Linked DNA regions of Elephas maximus indicus. The protein of the gene in region 1 purifies or fractionates together with the protein of each later gene. This does not show direct contact. Links are inferred from orthologs where the notes say so. Each region holds a gene or a part of one and is shown on either strand. Other genes may lie near its edges.

Region 1 (3,747 bases):
TTCCAGCTGTTAAGTGGAAGAGACATCAGCTTCTTGGCTATAAAGCCAGAAAAAGAATCTCCATTCAACATTAACCAGTATTTACTAAGGACCTACCAATGTGCTTAAGGAGGTGGCACAGCTACGGTTGCTAACCAAAAGGTCGGCAGTTCGAATCTGATTGGAAACCCTATGGGGCAATTCTACTCTGTCCTATAGGGTCCCTATGGTCGTGGTTTTTTTTAGGGAGTCCCTGGGTGGCATAAAGGTTAAAGCGCTTGACTACCAACTGAAAGGATAAAGATTAGAGTCCACTCAGAGGTGCCTCAAAAGAAAGTCCTGCTGATCTGCTTCTGAAAAATCAGCCATTGAAAACCTGTGGAGCACAGTTCTACTCTGACACACATGGGGTCGCCATGAGTCAGAAGGACTCAAGGCAACTGGTAACTGGTACCATGTGCCAGACATTGTGTAGGAACTTAGGATACAGCAGTGAACAAAACAAACACCATCCTTACTCTCACATGGCTAAAGTCCAGCAAGGATACCGGGCCATTAAAACACATACACACAAGTGCTAGGAAGAGAAATAAAAGAATCTGATGCATAAGTAAGGTGGAGGAAGGGTTGAAGATGTGTTCATTCACTCATGTCTCAAATATCTGAGCACTCTGTTGTGTATCCAGACATAAAAAAAGTCCCTTTATAGAACTGTGTCAAAATTCACATGGCTGGCAGGTGGAGAGGGAGGACATGAAAGGGTGAGCAGGGACGCAAAGATCTCCCCAAATAAGGACTAAGCAATATTCGGGCCAAATTGGGGACGGAAAGAAGTGGAGAGGTTAATACGGACGGGAAGCGGTGAATGGCGCAGGAACCGGGAAAGTGTTCTCAACTCCCAAAATAGGGAGAATGGGGTTGAGCGGACAGCCCGGCTCCGTGATCTGCAAGAGGTGGAGTAAAATTCCGCGGAAAGATTTTTAGACGGTCAGACTTAGACGGTCTATCTTAGGAGGGAAGGAGTAAACAAGGGGATACGAAAACATTTTTCTTCGAGACTGAATCCGTCTCAGTGGCCCTGACTACGAAGGACTCCAGGGGTCTACAGCTCCTAAACCGAGGCGCCTCCAACGTGAAGGCCCCGTCAAGCCTCAACACTAGGGCCATTGGCCACGCCCCTCCGCGGTCGGAGCGCTTGGTGTAACACAAACAGGGCCTTTTACTAAAGCTCCGCCTCCTCCCTGCGGCTCCGCCCCTCAGCCTCGTGCCCAAGTAGCAAAAGTCTTTCCCGCCCCCTAGTTGTGCGTGGATCTGACGCCTGACGTAATAGCGTCGACGCCATTTTAGCCGGCCCCACTCCGCACGGGGCGTGGTGGCCATTTTGTTTTGGACGTCGAGCGGGACACGGCGGCGTCGGCGGCGGCAGCGGCAGCGGCAGCGGCAGCTGTGGTGGCATAGACGAAAAGAAGGAAAAGGCAGGCTGGGTGAGCAGGCGGACTGGCCAAACAGCCCGCAAACAACAACGAGCTAGCCTAGCAGTCTATCGATTACGCATCTAACCAACCGCCCACCAAGTTACCCCGAGCCCCCCACCGTCAACTCAGGTTCGGCCGGTCCCCGGCCCGCTTGCCGCAGCCGTGGTGGCAGCCCCGGGAGGAGCACTGGCGTCCGTTTCTTTTGGTGCGTTTCTGCAGTGAGGAGGGGGAGAGTCTTGGGGAACGGAAGGAGCTGGCGGTCGCGAAGTGGGGGGTGGTGGCATGTGGAAGCCGACCGGGTGTTGGAGTGAGGACGCCCCCGAGAGGGGGCGGAGCCCGGGAGGAGGAGGTGGGGAGAGGCTCAACTGGAAACTGGTGGCGGGATTGATGGGGGATAACAGGGAAAAAAGGAGAATTGTTTGGCGAGTTGAGCAAAGCTGGCTGTCTTCCCCAGGTTTTGAGATGGTAGAGAGGCTAAGTGAGGGCTGTGGGACTTTGGCTTGAAAATTAACGGTGGCTTTAGCGTTACATTCTGTAGAGAGCTCTCTGGGAGCTAGCTCTCAGGTGAATGCCTATTTAGGAAGCCTTTTCTACTCCATCGTCAAGCTCCCCAATCCCTTGCTAAGGCCACTACTCGATTTTAACGTCGAAAGCCAGTTTTGAAGCCAAGTATGCCTGTTTTTTCTCCAGATCAATGCTTCTCAACTTTAGACGCGCATTAGAGGCACCTGGCTAACATTCCTCCCCCCATTGCTGATCCCCAGCCCCACCCCCACCGATTGTGGTTAATTGGTCTGTGCCTAGGTTTCTATAGTTTTAAAAGCTCCCTGGGTAAGTCATATGTTGCCATACACTACCAGTTGAGAACTGATCTAGATTAAAAGCCAAGCTGTTAACACCCCTTTTTGCCATCTTTGGTTCTGCTACCATTTTTGAGACTTTGGCTGATATTTTATGTTCTGTGGGCTTCAAATTTTAATAGTTTGAAGTAATTACCTTAAAAACTTAAGCAACTGAAATGTGTTTTCATGTGATCTTCAATAGTCAGTGGTGAAGGTCTTTCCATTTGTTGTTGGTTCGGGCCTTGGCCCTTGTAGAAAGAGGTCGTTGTTATTCCAATTTGCTCATTTTGTCCATTATCCTTTGTAGATTCTCGGGATTTGAAGATGGCTGCACAGTCAGCTCCGAAAGTTGTGCTAAAAAGCACCACCAAGATGTCTCTAAATGAGCGGTGAGGCAGCCAACAGCAACTTCAGCTCGTTCATAAGAAAACATTACTTAAATTGGCCCTGGGATCCAATGCACAAAAACGGTTTTAAAATAACTAAATACCAACAGAAGGCTACAGACTTCTGTTCTTAGTTGCATCTTAATATGGTACACACATTGGGCGGTTGTTTCAAAACCCCTTTTTCAGTAGATTTTTATGTTAAGCTGTCTGAAACATTTATCTGGTGGGATGTATTTTAAAAAGACTCCTCACACCCTCCCTCTCTTCACATTTTTTTTTTACGTTGATACAGGGGTGGTGCAGCACGGTAGCATGGTACCCTGGCTGCAGAAGGCTTGCTGCCCAGTCCAAGGCCAGCAGTGTTGCGTCTGGCCTGTAAGAGGCAGGTAGCAAGCCATGAATCTGTCCAAAGGCCCTTGAATATCATTCTTGGGCCTTGTAAGAGGCACTTGCTTTGCTCCATTTCACTTTCTTCCCATTCTGCTTTTAGTTTGTTTTTGTTTTGGATTCTTTTACAGTTGTGTTCTTCTCTTTCGTGCCATTCATCTTACCTTAACAGAAATAATAGAGTGTCTTCCCAAGCTCTGAAATGATTGAACTAATTTAACTTTCTCATAAGTAATTATTTGGAGTCAGGGAAAGTGTCCATTTGAGGTTAAGAAAAGTTTAGGTATTTAAAGTAGCTTTTGTCTCTGAGAGCTCTGTTCATTGAGGGCCTTTGGCCAAAAAATTTATTAAGTTGATGTTAGACTGCTAGGAGATTTGTCTGTCTGTTTTTGTCTTTTTGAAGCATATGTGCTGCTTCTCTAGCCCCTTTGGTATGATATACTTACTAGCTGTCCATATTAGCAAGCTACTGAGTAAACAAAACATAAGAAAATGTGATGCAGTCCTGTAATATATATGGATGTACTATTTCCGTAGTCCCTGGGTGGTGCAAACAATTAAGGCACTTGGCTGCTAATAGGTTGGTGGTTTGAGGCCGCCGCCCCCCTGAGGTGCCTCAGAAGAAAGGGCTGGCAGTCTGCTTCCCAAAAAGCAGCCATTGAAACCACCGTGGAC
Region 2 (3,747 bases), on another chromosome or scaffold:
AATGCAGAGCCCTCAAATTTTTGTCTACAATTTCATGAGGACCCCCAGGTTCAGAATACCCCAGATTTCTGGTGGATCCACCCATCCCACGTTAAAAACTCTAGTGCTGAATGAGATTTGTTTCCACTATTAAACGTTAGGTATCTTTTTTAAAAGACAGTCTTCCTTCATGAAATCCCTCAGCTCTGAGATTAACTTGGGAAGCTGCTTCCCTTCATAACTGTCATTACTTCCCAGCAGCCAACCTGAGAGCTGACAGAATATTGGTTATTTCTTACCTCTGAGAAATTAACAGCCAAAGGAATGATTCCAGCCACGTAACATCCCACCAACATAGCGAGGGACAGCATACTAATGGAGATGAAATCATCCATTCTGCCCTCCTTTATTCACCCACCACCACCAGACAGACTATGAATTTTCAGTGGCTTCAAAAGTTGCTTAGGTTCTCAAGCACGCGCGGTGATTCCAAGAGAATAGGCGGGCTCTCCAGTTCTTTCGGCCTCCCCACCAGCAGATCTGTTCTCGAGGTACCTCTGGAAACCCCTTTTTGCTGATAATAGCACCAGAGAGAACTTTCAGCAACCTTAGGTCCCAGCCTCTGGGTTCCCAGGTGCCAGACACTGGATTCCCGTGAGTTAACAGAAATGGGAAAAGTCAACGGGGAAAATATGAGAATGAACGACTTCTTCAATCGTCGGAATGAGAGTGGCACAAGGAGTCCACTCCCCCCACAGACAATGTCCCAGATGGCAGCAGGAAGAGGAGGAAAACCCAAGAGAACCTGTTCGTCTCCCGGCCCCCCGTACCCCTGAGGCAGCCCAACGGTGATCCCCCCAGGGCTGGGACCAGCCCACCAATCCCGGCAAACTCCCCTCCAAGTCTTGTATGGGGAAAGGAGTCCTGCAGGTCTCTAACACGACGGATCCGAAAGGTTCAGCAGCGAAGCTGATACAAAGCTGTCTCTGCCCTATACCCGCTGCTGCCCATGACACTCCACTCCTCCGAGTCTTGACCCGAAGACACCGATACTACAGCTGCCATGGCCGCCAAGTGGCAACTCTTCATTACATCCACTTCCGGATTGCCCCACCGGTTCCCCCCCCCGAAAGGCATTTCCGGGTTACAACCGACCTATGGCCCGGTATACTTATACGGCCGCCATTTTTTAGTAAAAATATTAGTAAGGCCACTGAAAAGGACTTGTTCCCGTCTATACTGGTGATCACTCTGGCCGAATGTCTAACAACCAGAGTACGGAAGACGGCGTCTTAAAAAAAAAAAAAAAAAGGACCCTTTCTCAAGCTACGAAACATTCCGCGATGTATCTAAGTCGCCCTTATCCAACATGGCTGAAACAGAGTCGGTATCTGCTCTAGCTACCGGAAATATGTACGCCTCTATGGTCCAAAAGGCTCTTTCCGGTTGCGATTTTGACGAGTTCCGGCGGCTCCTCTCGCGGGGATTGGCTGTTGGCGGCGTTGTGGCTCAGCTCGTGTGCGGTGGTGGTATCTACAGCGGCTGCAGCGAAAGAGTTTGGCACGATGGTGAGAAAGGCCTCCCCGGCTACCCGAGCCCCCACCCTTCCTGGCCCCTCCAGCCCCGTACATCTTCCATCCACCCCAGTCCAGAGCGAGCGTGTTGCTCCCCGCCTCTCCAGCGCGTGGGTCGACCCTTTTGCTTCCCGCCACGGAGTCGCCGGGCCTTGCTCTAGGCCCCGAACCCTGGGCCAGCTCTAGGGTTGCGCGCCGGACCACTGGCTCGGAAGAGGCGCGCCGTGCGTCTAAGGATGCCCTTACTCCCGCCAGCTGCTTGGTAGAGGGAGGCGTAGGGATGGTGCCCTTTCCCTCCAAACGCTCTACCCTGGTGTAGGAACAATGGCCGAGGGATGTCTATCAAACCTATCCGAAGCTGACATTCCACTTCCTGCACTCGCGTGGGGCCTGGAGGGGTCGTGTTTGCTTTGTGGCGAGTTTTCTCAACTATTCCCCTTTTGCTTTTCCGTGTTTTGTCGTTCTCCCCTTAGGTTTTTACCCTTTTCTAATACATCTAGGTGTCCCACTTGTTTCCCTCAACCCTACCCAGTTGAGAAACCAAACCCATTGCCTTGAAGTCGATTTTGACTCATAGCGATCCTATAGGACAGAGTAGAACTGCCCCATAGGGTTTCCAAGGCTGTGTAAGTCTTTACCGAAGCACACTGCCACATCTCCCGCTTGAGCTGCTGGTTTAGTTTGAACTTTAAGGGTTAGTAGTCGAGCGCTGAACTACTTGCACCGCCTGTTGTTACCCTTGTTTATATTCTGATGGGACTGGAGTCTGAAAAGGTAGGCTTACCCGAGGTTCCAGGTACTTAGAATCTGGCTGGGGTGGTAGTGGAATGGGTGTTTTTTTTTGTTTTTTTTTTTTAGATCATCAGAAGAGGGATGCCTACAGGGCGTCTGGTTGCTGGTTTTGTAACTACCAGTGCAGTTATTGCTAACGATGAACTATGCCTAGTTGCACTTTTTGAATTGAGATTTTTCAGTGCTGACTCAATCTAGTCTCCCAAAAAGGACAAGGAATCAGAAGACTGTTTCCAGTTTCTGTTTTGCCATAACTAGCTTTGTGACTTTGGGCTTGTCATTTTACTCGTGTAAGTTTCCTTCTTCTTTGGTTGTATGTCCCCTCTTTGGTATTGTGTTAAAATTCAGCGATCAAAGTCTGAGACAGTTACAGCAATTAACATCAACAACTCATTCTTGAATAAATGTTAGTAATATTTCGTCATCAGCTTTGAGTAGAATTAAAAGTTAGAATTTATAATTAAAGTGGATAATTATTGGTTTGAACACCGTAAGTACTAGAAGGTGCAAGCTTCGATTTATTTTTGTTTTTTGTAGTTTGGGAAAATACTGGATGCCAGTGAACAGATCATAGGTATTATAATATTGCAACAGTCAACAGCAGAATGACTGTTCTCCTGTTTGTGAGACTTCTAAAAAGTAAACAAAGTCAGATTATTTATCAGAGTGAATCACAACTGCTTGGTAATCTCTCAGGATAAAGGATTTTATTAAGAAATTATGCATAATTTTTTTCACATTTTGGTTTGTCACAACTGGTTTTTCCTATTATAAATAGAAAAAAATATATATTTATTGTACTGGCCATTCCCCCAGGAAAGACTGTAAGGAATGCATGGACCAAATCTGCCCAGAAGTAAGCGGGGGGCGGCGGAGGGGGGGGGAACTGACAAGACATATGTTTATATTTACTAAAATAAAACAAAAGGGTTCTGAAAAGAACAATAAGAAGAAAGTGACCAAAACCACTTTGGGAGATATTATGATCTTTAAAAATTGCTAACAGGAAAGCACTGCCACTTAAAAATGATAATTTAGTTATGTCGCATATTTAGTAGTTTTAATCCATGTCTTTGGGTAATAAATACTGAAATAATAAGCTTTGCCTAGAGCCTTATTTTAAGACTAGATATAAAAAGAAGCATATTATGTAGCCATTTCCGTATGTTACCCTTTCAAATAGTCATTTAATTTGCATTAGCATAAGAATTAATATAATAGCAACTGATATAGCTACTGTACGGAACCCTGGTGGTTTGGTGGTTGAGAACTTGGCTGCTAACCAAAAGGTCGACAGTTCAAATCCACCAGCTGCTCCTTGGAAACCCTGTAGGGCAGTTCTGTTCTGTCCTATAGGGTCACTATGAGTCGGAATCAACTCCATGGCAACAGGTTTTTATAG

What was found. The genes of interacting proteins can lie anywhere in the genome.
Region 2: the proteins of CHTOP (region 1) and ERH purify together in Homo sapiens (affinity purification with mass spectrometry; 3 studies listed by BioGRID and IntAct, with this or other methods). This does not show direct contact. The link is inferred for Elephas maximus indicus from reciprocal best matches to the Homo sapiens genes CHTOP and ERH.

What each region holds. Positions count from the first base shown.
Region 1 is NC_064821.1:191,479,755-191,483,501, forward strand, and holds the start of CHTOP (chromatin target of PRMT1 protein), read left to right. Parts: upstream 1-1,337; 5' UTR 1,338-1,659; intron 1,660-2,603; 5' UTR 2,604-2,620; coding exon 2,621-2,685; intron 2,686-3,747. UniProt on the Homo sapiens protein: Plays an important role in the ligand-dependent activation of estrogen receptor target genes. May play a role in the silencing of fetal globin genes.
Region 2 is NC_064828.1:81,864,837-81,868,583, reverse strand, and holds the start of ERH (enhancer of rudimentary homolog), read left to right. Parts: upstream 1-1,438; 5' UTR 1,439-1,544; coding exon 1,545-1,547; intron 1,548-3,747. Other genes in the region: SLC39A9 (zinc transporter ZIP9), read right to left, coding at 279-370. UniProt on the Homo sapiens protein: May have a role in the cell cycle.